4 linked regions of the Coturnix japonica genome follow. The protein of the gene in region 2 interacts with the protein of the main gene of each other region in a biochemical or structural test. Links are inferred from orthologs where the notes say so. Each region holds a gene or a part of one and is shown on either strand. Other genes may lie near its edges.

Region 1 (4,198 bases), on a different chromosome or scaffold from region 2:
ATCTGCAGTATGGACAGGCTATGCTGGTCCCTGTGGCTGCTGTAGGCCTCATTGCTGGGTTCACTCCATTGCACTGAGAGCTGTGTGCATTAGAGTGAGTGGTCCTTATCCCCATAGGGTTCCTATTGCTCCATTAAATCAATCAGCAGGTGCTGCCGCTTCCCCAGGCTGACTTGTGTTGGCCGACAAATGCAGGTAGATGGGTGTTTTTTTGGTGAAAAGCCATCAGTGTGGCCATCAGTTCCATCCCATTTGTGCACCAAGAGCTGCGTGCCCTTAAATCACAGAATCAATCACAGAATGACCCGGGTTGGAAGGGACCTCAAGGATCATGTAGCTCCAACCCCCTGCCTGGCAGGGCCATAAAACATACACATTTACTAGATCAGGTTGCCCAGGAGACCCCATAGATCCCCATAGAGACCCCATAGACCCCATAGACCCCATAGAGACCCCATAGACCCCATAGATTCCCATAGAGACCCCATAGACCCCATAGACCCCATAGAGACCCCATAGAGACCCCATAGATCAGGTTGCCCAGGGCCCCGTCCAACCTGGCCTTGAACACCTCCAAGGACGGGGCATCCACAACCTCCCTGTGCAGCCTGTTCCAGGGCCTAACCACTCTCCTAGTGAAGAACTTCCCCCTAACATCCAACCTAAATCTTCCCTCTTTTAACTTAAAACCATTTCCCCGTGTCCTGCCAAATCACTTGTTCCCATCCTCACAGGGTTCACCAGGCACCCCCTGTGTGAGGAATTCCTCACAGGCCCCACTGGAATCCATAATTGTGTGCTGTCATTTAACTAATGCTGATCAAAACATACAAATTCCAGAGCAATTCAAGGTAAAAACCTATAAACCTGCCTCTCACCTACCCAGCATTACTCCTTCAGCACAATGGGCTGCTGCCTTTAGGTTTAGTCTTTCAGTTCACCACCTTCCTTAACTGCAACAACACCGATCTCCTGTCAACAAGGTTAGGCAAACAGCTGCTGATAAAATGACTTCCAGGTTGCTCTTTCCAAGGCCATTTGCCATGGGGTCCTCGCTTCAGACGAACACCCTGTGTGTGTATGTGTGTGTGTGTATGTGTGTGTGTGTGTGAACTCCTTGGCAGCGACAGCTGCCAGATAGCACAACCTGATTGCAGCGTGGGGCCTTGGTGCCATGGTACAGCCCGGGTTAATGACTTTGTTTATACTGTTTGGGTAATTGTGATAAGGCTGCCCAACCCGCTGCCCCTGCTGGGGTTTCATTGAGAAAACGGCCATTGACGCCATGCTGAGATCCTGCTGGTTCCAGCCAATCAGTCTGGGGACAGCTGGGGTTGGTGGCTTTTTTTTTTTGTTGTTTTTTTTCTTCTTTAATGAGGACCGCTTAATCACGGAGCGGTCAAGGCTGGGAAGGGGTGTTCCACTTGTGACCGAGCCTTATAAGAGCTTGTTTGAACAGCCATGTGCTGGCAGAGCTGGGAGGACAGGTCACTCCCAGATTGAGACGGGGAGGAAACTTACAGGTCTCTCCCATCTGCGGAGTTTCACAGAGGATCCGGGGCTCCCAGTTCTGCTCTGATGACCAGCAGCATAGACATGGACTGCGAGAGGTGTCAGTGCCAGCATGAAGACAAACACCCAGCCATTCTCTACACCCTCCTCAGCCAGAACCTGAGCCACAGCCCACCTCACCAACGCTGCCTGTGCCACCAGCGCTGGACGGTCTGCCTCCGGACACCCCATATCACCTGCCAAGCTGCATCCGACGTGTTGGTGAAAACCATCAGCTTCATGAAAAACCTCCCTTCCTTCCACCTGCTGCCTCGAGGGGACCAGCTCCTGCTGCTGGACAGCTGCTGGGTCCCCCTCTTCCTCCTGGGGCTGGTCCAGGAGACGGTGACATTTGAGGTGATGGAGACCCCAGCCCCCAGCATGCTTGAGAAGATCCTCCTCGATGGCCAAAGCAAAAGGCAGGAGCCTGAGTGGACTCAGCCCATGCTGGCCGCTGTGCAGTGGCTGCAGTGCAGCCTCAACACCTTCTGGAGCCTGGACTTGAGCCCCAAAGAATACGCCTACCTGAAGGGAGCCATTCTCTTTAATCCTGGTGAGTGTTCAACCCTCCCAGCTCTGCCTGCTGGTGGCAAGAGAAAGCCCTGCATGAGTTAGCATTTAAAAACACTGCTCTTGGCTTGGAGTCGCTCAGAGTTTGGGCAAAAGTGTGTGTGAGAGCAGGGAGAGCTGCTCACATCATTAGCACCAGCAATGCAGTTTACCTCTGGGAAGCAGGGAGGAGGGATACTGAAAATGTAGTGTTTAAAAGCAGAGACCTCCTTACCTTGCAATCAAAGAACCCTGGGTCTTACTCTACAAAGCCCATGTTTGCTTCATTAGCTGTATTTACTCCCTCAAAGCAACAGCCCTGAAATACATGTTGTTAATGGCTCTGAGGTTTTTCTCCAAGATACGGGGAGAGAGATGGGAGAAACCTCGAGCTGTTTTCCAGCCTTCCTCTTCACATCCTTCCCTCCTTTCTCTTGGCAGATGTCCCAGGGCTGACAGCCTCCCTGTACATCGAGAGCCTCCAGCGGGAAGCCGAGCGAGCGCTTCAGGAAGTTGTGCAGATCCTACACCCCAAGGACCAGGACCGCTTTACCCTCATTTTACTCATCACCTCCACCTTGAAATCCATCCCTCCTGCCCTCATCACAGACCTCTTCTTCCGACCCATCATTGGCAACGCAGACATTGTCGAGCTCATCGTGGATATGCTGTATGAAATCACCAGCTGGCAGCCGGCTCCTTCACCACGCGTGGCTCTGTGAGCTGCTGTGCTCTGCCACAGCCCTGGGGGTGCTCAACAACACCTGGCAGGGCAGCAGGGAGGACTGTGGAGCAGGCAGTCAGGCACTCAGCTCCACAGGGCTTTGCGTGTGCCTCTCTCTAGGCTGTAGGGCTCAGAGCATAAAGGAAAGCAGCCTTGATTCAGCATGGCTGCTCCACCTCTGCCAGTCTGTTTTGAGGAATGTGAGTGTGTGTGGCTGGTGGTACTGAGTTTCTAGCAAGCAGGCCAGCCCTGTGACACAGAGCAGACTGAGTTAGAGCCTGCTCCAGGCTTTTTATATCTCAGTGAATCCTCAGTTCAATTAAAATCAATGTGTGTTTTGTTAACTCCATGAGATGAGGTTGGACCTCAACTTGCTGCCCGTGATGGCTCTGTGCTGATAGTGGTATTTAGGGGTGCTGAGTATCTTCGGTGGTATCACTTGTAGAGTACAACCAGGTGCAAGCCGTAAGGAATTAGATCTTTAAGTATCAGCCAGTGTCTGCTGTGCATGAAATCTCACAGACAGCCACCAAGAATCCTCCTCAGACAGCAGGAGGGAGAAGCATCAGATCTTACAGGGCGTGCAGCCAGCTTCATGAACGCCTCCTGCCTCTCATCACATCGCATCTCCTCCCCACGATGCCATGAGCTGCAACAGGATTGCTCACAGATTGGATTACCTAAGAGCAGTGAAACGTACGGCAAATAACGCTGCATGAACACCACTTCATCCTCCCTATACACCTCAATATATATATGGCAATACTTGGAATGGCTCAGGAACACACTGAGCTACAGACACTGAACAAACATCCCTGCCTTGAGTTCCAGCTGGTTCAACATAGTAGGAAAGCTCGCTTCTCCTGCCTGCAGCTTTTGTCACTGATGTCAGTATTTAATGAGCGGACCTTCATTTGATTTGTACATAAGATGCAGTAAATTATTTTTTTAATAAAAACGTGTCACATTTTGGTGATTTTTTGTTATATTTCTGGCATTTTGGACTTGTAGAAATAGCTGTTGGAGGTACAGTGTGGGAAGGACACCTGAATGCAGGGATGGAGCATCATAGGGAATCATAGGGGAGCATTGCAATGCAGCCCCATGAGCTGTGCTGGGCACACACTGCTCTGTGCACTGAAACCTGCAGAGGCAGCACAACTGCAGCCTGTCTGTGCTGCACCTTCCTTCACGCACACAGCCACACCTGGAGGTGCTGATGCAGGAGGTTGGTGCTGACTCACCTGGATGTGCACACACAGCCCTCAGCCCACAGGAGAACAGCCATACAAAGCCTCCTGGCTCCCCACCACCATAAACACACCGTGTTTGAACAGCAGCCTGCTGGGAGAACTGTGTGCTGCCCATCCGTGC
Region 2 (4,225 bases):
AAATTTTTGTATGGCTTTGGTTTTAGTTTTTTACGCCTTTACCACTCATACTAGTATGTTACATCAGAAATTCATCATTTTGTTACTTAGACATCTTCAAATCTCCAAAATCTATGTGTTTGTTGCCAGATTACACTGCCTTATGTTCTCTTTTGAATTCAGGTGGGATTGGAACAGACAAATGAATAAAGCAAATTGGAAAATAATGCACTAAAATTTTTGAAAGAACTTGCTCTTGTACCTCATGATTAGATAATGAGATGTCTCCCAGACACCGAACACCTATTTAGAATATTTCTAGCATACTATTTATAACTGGTATACAAGAATAAGAACCTAACATTTAATTTTGTCAATATGACAACTTCCCAAATATGGTCTTTGTGAAATTTTTAAACAGCAAAGCTTTGTCTATTTAATCCTAACAGTACTATGCCTCGTAACAGACGATAATCATGGGGAGGACTTTGTTCCACATTTCCTATTACCATGTCAAATGTGCAATACAGAATCAAGGCCAGAAGAGGCCATTAAATCAGTCTTGTAACTCTGTATTCGGATAAACCACCTGCACAACCAAGATCATACATTCACCTAATTTCCACTGCTTTAAGCCTCATATATTATATACATCTAAAATGCATCTTGAAAGGACATGCCTATCCTTGACTGAAAACATCAGGACAATGGGAATACACCGCTGCCCTTTAATGCTTGTTGCAGTGCCTGAATGTTACTACTACAATGTATGCCATTTTTATTTTGAAGTGTCCCACCTCCGCTCACTGTTAGAAAATAAAATAATGCCATTTCCACAGTTCAGTTTTCATTTCCAACTGATTCTTGGTTTTTCTCCCTCCTCAAGTAAAAAGCCCTCACTTTAGCCCATTTCCTGCATGTGCATTTCAGCTTCACAAACTCACTGTTCAGCTGTTTACACACCACATGTCCCTTAAACGCTTTCTAACAGAGTTTTGCCCTGGATAATCATATTGAAAAATAAAAAAAAAATAAAAATAAAAATAAAATAAAAACAACATGGAATCTAGTGCAAAACACACTTTCACACCCACATCACTGTTAAACAATCCAGATACTCAATGTTCAAGTACATTAATTCCTCCTAGAGTTATTGCCTTCAGTTGCTCTAAAATACATTTTGTCTGAATCAGTTCAGCTAAGAGACATATTAGTTGGGCTGCCTGGCCTAACCGTTATCTTTTCACTTGTCTTTATTCCACTTGATCCCCAAAACCGATTAATCATTTGCAAAAAGTGCAATCACCATCTGTTTTTTTGGATCAGATTCTGCTACAAGATTATCTCAGGTTGCGTGACACTGTGTTTAATAACCTACATTGCTGTTCCCAGCAACAGTTAAGTCTGGCCTCGACAGGGAAAGGATAACCTGGTTTTATTTTTAGAGGGTCTCTCCATTTGTATAAAAATCACCTGTATTTCACAAATAAGCTGACATGGACAGCATTTAGGAGCTAACCGTTCACTTTAATTTGCTATAGTCCATTATTATATGCCAGTAAAAAATTAAGCTATTAACAGTGCACAAAGATTAACAATGTGAGTACTGGTGTGTTTGATTATATTTTCCTGGAAGCTACAGTTCTATCAGTTTCTCACACATATGTCAGAAATTAAGTATATGCTTTCACAATTTCCAGTGCGTATTAAAATTCTTCTATTGAAGGATAAATATAAATTTAAAAAGAAATCATATTTAAATTTATAAAAATTATTTTGAAATGCAGCATGCTAGATTTATGCTTAATATATATCAAAGTTTGATTAAAAATGCAAGGCACATAGCTCTTATTGCAGCTCATTAAAGTGGTTGCTGACTGAAATACTGTCATTGAATCAGTTCAAACAGTTTGATTTGGAAGGATATTGTGCCTGTGAACTACTTCCTATATAAGTCACTTATCCTGTAAAGGATACCAGAGGTAAGTAATACTCTTACTAGCAGCTAAGAGCTGAACAAACAGCCAATTGCACATTTTCAGTATGCTTCTAGACAGTAATTTTAATATACTGCAACAAGGAGATTGTTTGCCACTCCTTAATCAATTATGATTTCATGTTTTCCCAGGAAACATTTACACTCATTATCTAATTTGTTTCCCATTTACTTACAGTTTTCATTATTTACAGATCACAGGCACAGTAAGCTGTGAGTTACAGTTTTGTTTTATCCTCTGCTATTTTTATGGTCCCGATATCATGGAAGATTCCACAAGATTACACAGTCCTTTACACAAAAATGAAAGTGTAGGGCAGACATATTTCAATATTCTGATTTCTCAGCATAGCTGCTTAAAGAAGAAAGAGAAATTCTCTGTTGCACTTACCTGTAGAAGGCTGGAGGAGCAGTTTCCCTCATCCCGAAGCTGCCCTGTTCGTTTTCAAGGTAGTAGGGTACCTGCTGGCTGTGGTGATGGATGAAGGGTGAGAGCTGGGGTGCCGTTTGCAAGAACACCACTGGGCTTGGTGGGACATTGTTCAGAGAGTGAAATCCTGCCAGGCTGCTGGACCCAAAAGATTCAGAAGTAGGGGCATAACTGAGTGTAGTAGAGCCGTACACTGGAGCGGTAGTACCAAAATCGTAGGTGGCCCCTTCTGGGTAGTTAAAAACTCCTGTCTTGTTGCTTTCCACGTACATGTCGCTGAGCGATCGTTCCAGGGGAATCTTCAGCTGAGGTCTGCTCAGAGTCTCCAGTTCAGTGCCTTGAATCTGGTGCAGCAGGGTAACTCCAGAGGCTTTGGTGTGAAGGGTCATGGTCATTGCTAATGGCAGGGAGCAAGGAACATATCTGCTTTTACTGTCAACAGCAAGATCGGCAGCTGGCAGTCCACCTAAAAAAAACACCAGAACCTATTCTGAGGCTCAGCAGAAATCATGTTAAAGCAGCACTACACAGGTATTCCTCTGATCTCGGCGAGGAGGAGTATACAAACAAATGCAGGGTGAGCACTGGAAAGGCACATTCTCCCTCTCCCTCTAACTTTTGAGAACTCCTCATCTGCTCTAATATGCGTTACAAGGTGCTGGCTGCAAGCCAGGGGCTCTTGCCTTGTGCCGACGCTGATTTAAACATCACTTCAGAAACAATTAGTTTTGGAGGTACACCAAACAATTGTCCCACTAAATGTTACTTTATTCTTGCTAGTCATTTAATTTTTCACTGCAGGGCAGCCAGCACTCCACAGCAGCTAACGGGAAAGGACGCTGAAATCAGACCAGAAAGACTAGTCCAGTGGTCAGCCAGATTACTGCCTTTTATTTCCTCAGCAGGCTCCAATCTATCTGTGCTTATCTCTCCCTGTTTGATTCATTTTCATGTTTGCTAGAAATATGTAATGTGTACATTGTAATGACCCTGGATAGGACTATGCTGTAACTGAGATATGGCAAAGCAAAATGCATGTGCAAGCGCATGCATCTGTGTGTGTAACAAGTCTCTGTCAACAAAACTAGCTAACAGAAATTAAAGAATGTAAAAGATTTGTGTAGGACAAAAGGTTTATAACAAGCTTTATCAGTAACAGTGACCCAAACTAGTGAAGTGAAAATTTACATTAAAAAAAGTGAGGAAAAAATTTAGATTAGCCCATAAATTCCTGTCTGTTTCTGTTTTACCTTGTAAAACAATGAAGCAAAGCATCTTTCAGACTTTGCCATGGTAAGACCTTAGAAACTAGGAAGAAAGATTTCAGCGCACAAAAAAGGAATACAGGATTTTTTATTTTATTTTTTTCTATTCCCACAAACAAAAGCTCAGCAAGCTTAGATTTTGCTATCAACTTGAAAATAAAGTACTTGATTGGAATCAGTGTTAAAGTAAACTGAAATAATTCTCAAAGTTATCTTTAGGGGAAAAAAAAAAAAAAAAAAAAAAAAAGGTGGAGAAAGGACATAATGAAAAGGTGTGGCATGCATACCTCATCTTGCAATCTCATCCCAAATAATTTTAACTTTTCACAAACCACATCTCCTGAACCAGCTAAATGAAAACCTTCAGAAACCGTCCCAATTTCTCTAGCATCATTGTTGTGGTCTGCAATTCACTCAGTTAAACAGGTTAATGTTGACCCTAAACACATTAATATATGGACTTGAGTTAGTATGATTTGAATACGAGCAAAGCCTACACTAAACAACTCCACAGTTATTCAATGCAACCTTTGAAAAAATGCAAGAAACCAGAAA
Region 3 (4,042 bases), about 10 Mb from region 2:
GTGATGTGCTTGATGGAGAGTAAACTCCTACATCTTAGAATAGGGTGTCACTGACATTTAAATTCATCTGGGAGATGGCTGCACATCCGTACGAGAGCTGCATTCATACTTGAAATCATAGAATCCTACAGTCACAGAATGGCTTAGGCTGGAAGGGACCTAAAAGACCATCCAGCCCCAACTTCTGCCATGGGCAGGGCTACCACCCAGCAGCTCAGGCTGCTCAGGGCCACATCCAACCTGGCCTTGAGCATCTCCAGGGATGGGGCATCACAGCCACTCTGGGCACCTGTGTCAGGGCCTAGGCACTCTGTCTTAATGATCTCTCTTCTTTTAATTAAAACAATCCCCCTTTGTCCTGTCACTGCCAGACCATGTAAAAAGTTGGTTTCCCTTTTATTTATAAGCTCCATAATCAACACAGATGATTTTGAAAGGGATCTTTAAGCAGTTGTTAGACTATTTAAAGAAGAAAAAAAGCCTATACCAGTTACTTCCCTTTAAATCCAACAAGCTTTGATGTTGACTAACAACGTAACTACTAAGAAAAATGATTCTTATCTGGATGTCCTTGCATACCAATTGCTGTTTTATTGTTTCACGGTCTTTTACCATCTGCATGCACACAAACACATTCTGTGTTACATTAAGTTGCGTTGCTGTTTCTGCAGGTATCTGTCTGTCTATGGACCTCTGTCTTGCAGACTTTGGGATTTAGTGGTGCTGCGATGTGGAAGGCCTTTCCCCTGGAGTTCCTGTCTTTCACAGCTGCTTACTGACTAGAAGAGGGAACAGAAAGTGAGGTCTCATTCAGGCTGCCATTAAGGTCTGGTAGGGTTATCCAGAGCTACCTAAGGTAAAGGAGCAGAGTTTCTGGTAACTTGGATGGGTTTTTGGGGGGTTTGTGGAGTGCTTGTGGGGAAACCTGCATGCGGTGGATGTGCAAACAACAGCAAGCTTACAGACATTTCAGTTTCCAGTGGGTGTAAAAGCATCTGCAAACCTGGCTTTCCAAAAGCGGTGCTTTAGTATTACCCTTAAAAATAACTAAACTGGGGTAAAGCCTTTCCGTCACGCCGAGGAAGACCCTTTCCCCGTACGGTGCTGGCGGCACTGAGAGCCCTGAGCATCTCCCGATTCCCACCTTGCACCCCTACCCGGACTCAGCCCCGCACCACCCACGGGGCCGACCGCGCCCCCTCCCCCGGGTCCGGGGCGGGCCGGGGGCGGCTCGGCGCGGTGGGGCGGAGCCGCGGGCCAGGCCGAGCCCAGGCGGGCCGCTCGGGAGCGGTGGGGCTGGTCCTGCTCCGGCCGAGCGGGGAGCGGTGCTATCTCCGCGGTCGCCATGCCGCCGCCGCTCGCCCTCCTTGCAGGTGCGCTGGGTCGCGGGGAAGGGAGGTCGGGACGCATCCGCCGTTAAGCCGCGGGGTCACTGCCCGGCGTGCGGAGGAGGCGCGGGGCGGGGGCCGGGGCCCGGCGGTGCTGCGGGGCGGGAGGGAGCGGGGGCGGCCGCTCAGCTGCCGTGCGGATGTCGCCCGGAGCCGGGCTGCGCCGCCCTCCGCTCTGCGTCTCGTTGCTTTGCGGGCTGGGGGCTGCGTGCTCGCGGTGCTGCGGTGGCCGTGTGCCCGCCGGGCTGAGCGACGCTGCCTGCGGGGCTCGCTCTGCGGACCCGTAGTTTGGCGGCTGGAGGAGCGGAGCGGAACGAGTCGTTCTGCTGATGGCCTTCAGCCTTCCGAGCGGATTTTTTCCCTAGACCTCGCGTGATTTACTGGAATGTTCCGAGCTCTCCCTGTTAACTTGCAGTGTCTGATGACCGTGACTAGGAAGCACGGCTGGAGGTGCGGCGGTGACTGTTGTCCGTCCGTCCGTCCGTCCATCTGTGTGTGCGCAGCTAACCTCACCCTCGGCATCCGCGTTGGTGCCCGGCCCTGGGGCTGAGCTGCGAGCTGCTGGCAGTGTGTGGTACTGACCGATGCGGCCTCCAGGTGATGGAATCGGGTGATGAATGCTCACGGCAGCCTTCTACCGCGTGTTTACTTTACACGCCGCTGTTACCGTTCGCCCATTAAATCATCGTGCATGTCTTGTGCTAATGCGTAGTAATGGACTTGAAGGACGGGTAGGTGCTCGTTAATTGATTATGGCTTGCTGCAGGATGCTGTGCTCCTGACTAAGTGCCTGTAGTTGGATGATTAAAATGCAGACTGGAGAGCTCTTCCAAGCTGTTGTATAAGCAAGTATTTCCGTAGTGTGGAAATTGTATTATGTTTATATTGGGTTTTGGATGTGCCTATGTGTAAGTTTGTGTGTACGTACTCAGACTTCAGGAAATTAATGAAGAACACAATAGAAAATAGAAAGAAAAGTGTATGTGCCTATATAGTTTCTGAATGGAAGCTACATTATCAGCAACAGATGTAAGGCAAGGTAAAAGATACATAAGTCAAGCGACTGCATTCTCTGTTGTCCTTGCAAGGTTGTCCTTATTCAGGATAATGTTCGTAAATATAAGCAAACTATTTTAAGGATCAAAACCCATAAGTAACTTGGGTTCTGTGAAGATCTTTAGTGGAGTTGTTGGGACTGCTTGCAGACATAACATACTTTACAATGACTTTTCTTTTTTTCTTTCTTCTTTCTTTTTAATGAATCAAATTCTCTAGTTTGATGGAAATTCTGTACTTGGGTTAAATTCAGTACTGTTGTTGTTTATTATGCCATTAAAAAAATAATAATCAGGTATTCTGAAAAATGAGTCTTATCTAAGTTGCAAAGTCAGGTCTCTGAGTCACAGCTCTTGCCTTTGCCCAGTGGGCTGTTCTCTTATGTTTTCACTGGGTCAATGGCCACGTTCCGATTTTTATTTGCTCGTCTATTGCTGAAATGATAAATGATTCCCTTTGGAGATGAAATGACTTAGAATTGATTGGACAAGTACTTATCTGGCAGGGTAGGAATACTGTTTTATTTTGCTTTTTGTATCCAGGGTTTTGAAAGAGAAGACTGAGGTTGGCCAGGGGTTGCCGCTGTAAATACTTGGCTAGGTTATGGGTCTGACCTCTCTTCAGTGGACAGCTTATGTGTAGGTCTGTTCTTTTAAGTGATTCATTGAAAAGTGATTTGTGTTTGAGAATAACATTTCTTTATAAGGTTATTAATAAGACTGTATAAAATGCTCTAGATATGTACAGCATCTGCAGGGGGTCCCTGCAGCCACCCCATCTGGGTGAGCATGTCAAAGGTGGAAATTAGTGCGATCCTCTGGAGCGTGATCTGATGCAAGGACCTGCTGCTTCAGGCAGCTGGAAATTTCTGCTGAAAATAATTACGATGCAAATAGAGGATGAAGGGACTAATTTCCCCTTTGCTTTGAGTGAATCTGCTGTGACCGTGCAAGGAGTGACAGAGTGACAAATCTCTTCCTTCCCACAATCAATAATCTGTACACGTCCGAGGTTTTGCGGGCTCAGCTCTTGTTTTGGTGAAGCATCTGCTGGCTGGTACAGCGCTGAGGGTGGGGGTGTGTACTGGCCTCTGTGCTTCTCATTTCTTGCTCCCTGCTGTGAGGGCACTTAGTCTCAAGGTCTGCTCTGTCTGTGTGTGTGACACAGAGATTGCGCTGCTGCTTCAGGGCCTTCATGTGGGCTGGTATCACTTTCCCTGAAAGAGGAAATGTAACTACAGCTGAGGAGTGAAATCAGCACCAAGAGGGCTCACTAAGGGGCCTCCTTTGGTAAGAAGGAAAATAAAGGTAGGAGAATAGAGTTTTTAGACTTATTATTTTAGATCAGACTTCCTTATTCCCGAGACATTTCTCCCTAGCTTTATTCCTGAGACAATTGTAAGCAAACCAGAGGGGATTATATTCCCACTATAATCACATTGTTTTAGTTTGACGCATCAAGCATGTTATGGGAATATTTTTCTTCCTTTTCTTTTCAAACCCTTCAATTTGTGGGTGGAAAGCCACATGGAAACATCAAGCAGGTGTAAGCAGCTGTGAGCTGCAGCCAAAAGACATCTACTGTTTATTCATTTTGAA
Region 4 (3,977 bases), on a different chromosome or scaffold from region 2:
CAAAGCAGCGCGCAGTATGGGGGCAAAAATTCCCCAAGTCAACATTTACTACAACAGCAAAAATCTCTGCCTCCTCCTCTTGCCATCCTTCTGCCTCCTAACGAACACGATGTTGCCAGCAAACAGGGTAAAAAAACAACGTGAGTGTCTCAAAGCACCATCCGTGCAACAGTAGCAGGAGCAGAGGACTTCACTGGTGGTCTGCAGAATCAAAACACTCTGGAGAACTGTAAGGATTAGAAAAACCAAGAGAGGACGATGCACGGAGCTGCCGCTCTGTTAGGAGGCCGCTGGCTGACGGAGCTGAAGAACCGCTGCAATGCAATGTGCAGGTTAGAAACCACAAACTAATCTTAGGAACAACCAAACACATCTTTGTCCGATCTTGCAGGCGGATCAATTTGTTCTCACCTCCTGGAACATGGAGAAAATCTAATTTCCATGCACACAGATGTGGGTAAGCAGGGATGTAATCAAACACCACAAGGTTCACTGTCTCCCCTTGGTTGTCAGTCTCACTCCTGCACTTCAGCTACTCTCTTTTCTTTGTCCAGAATTCAGATGGTGTTGGAAATAAAGCAGACCAGCCAGGTAAGGGTGATGGAGCGCTGCACCAGCACTCACTGCAGCACCACGCCAGGTTCATGCGTTACCTGCACTGTCTCACACTGGAGTCCCACTTTGTTAAAACCCATTTCAGCAGTCTTTGAAAGCAATGTGCTCACTGTACCCATTCTACATCACGGCTATAAAAGCATCAACATGAACCTGGTTTTGTGTGCACTGCTGACAAAGTCATAGCTTGGCTAAAGGATGCACCACCTCAGTATTCACCCACACTGTGCCACAGGAGAGATCCGCTGCCATCACATTCCTCCTAAGAGCACAAATCTATTGAGCTGTGTGAAATGACACATGCTAAAGAGCATCCTTACTCGTTCATTTGTTCCACTCATTAATATTTTCTCCCATGAGTGCATTGCTTCCAAAACAAGAGCTGCCTTTGCTTTCAGCTGCTTTTCCAACCACAGCACGAGTATTTCAAGATACTTTTATACATGCAGGAATACAACTGGACATCACTGCCACGTTTTCTTAACTGGCATTCCATACCACTTTACTGTAAGTTAAGAGATTTGCCATGCAGCAGACCCCAAAATATCAGCATTTTCATGAAATCTGAGTACGATTACCAGCACGGAGGGTCTCCATTTTCTGACCAAATATAACAGAAATCTGCATCCCATTGAAAATGTGTCAGAAGCACAAAAACGTGCCCTGTTTTTGCTCATCATTTGTGTAAAAGTTGAGCAGGGAGTCTGAGAATGAACCGTATCGACTTGGCCTTCAATATTCCAGCATCCCAATGGGCAGCATTGGCTGCATGAGTTCAATGGCCACACAGGTAAATAATCCCAGTGACTGCTGATTAAAAAAGGGCCACATCCTGCAGATGTTTAAGATGAAACCAGTTTGTTCAGCTTCTTTTTTGCAAACTGTTCTGAAATTGGGATGACTTTAAACAAGGAATATCATACTAACAATGAAATACAACAAGCGTGCTTTTCCAACACAGGAAGGTGCTGCGTCTCCACTGTTACGGCTCTGGTAAGTCACTAACAGCTCTGCTACAGGATCTGTGTTAATGAGAAAAAGCACTGTACTTACGGTTGCAGGAGCTGGGGTAGGAGGTGGAGCATAAGATGGCCTTTCTGTTAAAATATAAACGTAAGCAAAGAAAATCCTTGAAAATGTGAATGAGTTCTTTAAGAGGCATCCATTGTGGCAAATGCTTTAATGGGATTTACTAAAAGACAGACCCAGCTCAAAGACTTTGGAGCACACAGCAAAGGAGAGACTAAAAAAAAAATCAAACCAAAACCCCACATCATTGCTACATTTCTGGTCTTTTATTTAGGCAGATGAAGGAACCTGAGATACGTTTACAGGCACATCGGTTAAGAAGAGGGTAAGGAAACAAAACAAAACAGGGAAGCAGGACTCAGCAGAAGCTGGGACAGATTTGCTGTGAGACCAAACGCTTGGACTGGGCTGCAGCAGCTCCTGAGAGCTCCAGGTGGGCACCAGGAACTGCTCCGTGCAGCCCGAGCTGCAGTGAGAGCTGACGGCACAGCAACAGACACCACGGGAACCAGGAACGGCTGCTCTGTGCACAAGGCCCACAGGCAGCGCCCCAGAGCCCGCGGAACCGGATCCGAAATTCACCAAAGGAAGAAAAGCCCGAAAACTTACTTGACATTTTGACAGGCAAATTTTCAGCCACCTGACGTTACATTCGTGTTTCTGAAAGACAAAAGAACAACCGTCCCATTAATGCCACCCCGCTCAGCCCAGCGGCCATTTCACGGCGCTTCTCCCGCAGGAACTTCACGTTCCTCCGCCGTTCGGTTCCGTTCGGTTCCGTTCGGTGCCGCTCGGTTCCGTTCGGTTCCAGCTCGTGGCTCCACACGGACCCTCACACACCGGCCCGGCCCGTGTAACCGCGGAGGCCGCGCCGCCGGGAAGAGGCCGCGAGCGGAGCCGCCCCGCGGGCAGCGCCCACCTGAGCCCCTCGGCACCGCGATGAGCCGCCAACCCGAGACCGGAACCGAGCCCAGAACCGAGCCCAGAACCGATCCCGGCACCGAGCCCCCCCGCCCGTCCCGCCCCGCACACACGCACCGCTCCGCAGCGCCGCTCCTTTGTTCCTGCCCGGGCCGAGCCGGCTGCGAACACCGCGCCTGCGCGCCCCGCTCCGCACTTTCGCCACGGCCTCCGCCCCGCTCCCTCCCGCGGGTGTCCGAGTAGCGCGGGGTTGATCCGTCCGTCCGCCCCGCTCACCTCGGAGCCGCTGTCAGACCGAGGGCCGCCCCGCGCCGCGAGGGGTGAGAAGGAAGAGCGGAAGGCGTTGTGGCGAATCTGCGGGGAGCGCTGCCTCACGGGGCTGGGGCGGAGGCGGCGCGCGGCGTTGCCGCGCTCTGGGGCCGCGTGAGGCGCGAGATGGAGCGTCGAGTGGCGGGAAAGGAGAACATGGCGGGAAAGGGAGAAAGCGGCTGTGAGTGACCATGAACTGCAGGAATAGTCTGTAATACACAGAGAACTGCAGGAATAGTGTCTATAATATACATAGAACTGCAGGAATAGTGTCTGTAATGCACATAGAACTGCAGGAATCGTCTGTAATGCACATAGACAGGGCTTGTGTGACACCAGAGGGGATAGAAGGGAGAGGAAGCTGGCTGTGATACCACAGCGCGGCCTGCTCTGCTCTGAAGTAACGACACGGACATGGACAGATGGAGATTTCCATTCAATAACACAGGGAATATAATGATGGGAAGATCCGCCAGCAGCCAGACCTGCACCTTGGGGTCCGACAGCGGCACCTGGGCACAACGTCCTTAAGGAGGAGGTAAGAAAATACTTAGAGGTGAAAAGTAACCCTGGTTTGGCTTGGGTTTGACCACATTCATTACATTGTGTTGTACGTTGCATTCAGTTGTGCTTGGTGTCGATAGCATTAAACATGCACAAGTCGCTGCAGTGTTCAGTGCAGTTCCATACTGATCATTCTGGATCGTTATTTATTGTTTCCTTTGCTTTAGTTGGTTGGTTTTTCTATTTATTTCTCATTTCTGTTTGCCTGTGCTCCGTTTCCATGTTACTCTATGTGCTCTTACTGCTGTACAAGGTTTGTTTATAGCGGGTTGTTCAGGTCAGGAGCCCTGAACATGTTTAATGATCATAAACCAGCTTTTGTTTGTGCTCTCTGCCACCCAGTCCCCCTCAGGACGGACACACAAAGCTCAGGTTTTATTGTTTTTATTGTTGTACCGCTATTTACTTTGGTAAGTTTGTATCCCTGTTTAAAGTGCCTCAAAGCGATTAAAACTTAGTTTAAATTCAAGTATTGTAAAACATACAGAGTATAGCACACGAAAAAAGCTGCATAGTGAAAATGCCAGGAGAGGCCGTTA

What was found.
Region 1: the proteins of ESR1 (region 2) and NR0B2 form a complex in vitro, tested with the Homo sapiens proteins (2 studies listed by BioGRID). The link is inferred for Coturnix japonica from reciprocal best matches to the Homo sapiens genes ESR1 and NR0B2.
Region 3: the proteins of ESR1 (region 2) and NCOA7 form a complex in vitro, tested with the Homo sapiens proteins (2 studies listed by BioGRID). The link is inferred for Coturnix japonica from reciprocal best matches to the Homo sapiens genes ESR1 and NCOA7.
Region 4: the proteins of ESR1 (region 2) and SMARCE1 form a complex in vitro, tested with the Homo sapiens proteins (3 studies listed by BioGRID). The link is inferred for Coturnix japonica from reciprocal best matches to the Homo sapiens genes ESR1 and SMARCE1.

Annotation. Positions count from the first base shown.
Region 1 is NC_029538.1:1,621,961-1,626,158, reverse strand, and holds NR0B2 (nuclear receptor subfamily 0 group B member 2), read left to right. Parts: upstream 1-1,398; 5' UTR 1,399-1,578; coding exon 1,579-2,104; intron 2,105-2,541; coding exon 2,542-2,822; 3' UTR 2,823-3,800; downstream 3,801-4,198. UniProt on the Homo sapiens protein: Transcriptional regulator that acts as a negative regulator of receptor-dependent signaling pathways. Specifically inhibits transactivation of the nuclear receptor with which it interacts.
Region 2 is NC_029518.1:44,172,475-44,176,699, reverse strand, and holds the start of ESR1 (estrogen receptor 1), read right to left. Parts: upstream 2,801-4,225; coding exon 2,367-2,800; intron 1-2,366.
Region 3 is NC_029518.1:54,320,344-54,324,385, reverse strand, and holds the start of NCOA7 (nuclear receptor coactivator 7), read left to right. Parts: upstream 1-1,242; 5' UTR 1,243-1,373; intron 1,374-1,622; exon of another isoform or gene 1,623-1,838; intron 1,839-2,003; exon of another isoform or gene 2,004-2,119; intron 2,120-4,042. UniProt on the Homo sapiens protein: Enhances the transcriptional activities of several nuclear receptors. Involved in the coactivation of different nuclear receptors, such as ESR1, THRB, PPARG and RARA.
Region 4 is NC_029542.1:4,157,577-4,161,553, forward strand, and holds the start of SMARCE1 (SWI/SNF-related matrix-associated actin-dependent regulator of chromatin subfamily E member 1), read right to left. Parts: upstream 2,801-3,977; 5' UTR 2,683-2,800; intron 2,583-2,682; exon of another isoform or gene 2,564-2,582; intron 2,305-2,563; 5' UTR 2,261-2,304; coding exon 2,254-2,260; intron 1,713-2,253; coding exon 1,669-1,712; intron 1-1,668. UniProt on the Homo sapiens protein: Involved in transcriptional activation and repression of select genes by chromatin remodeling (alteration of DNA-nucleosome topology).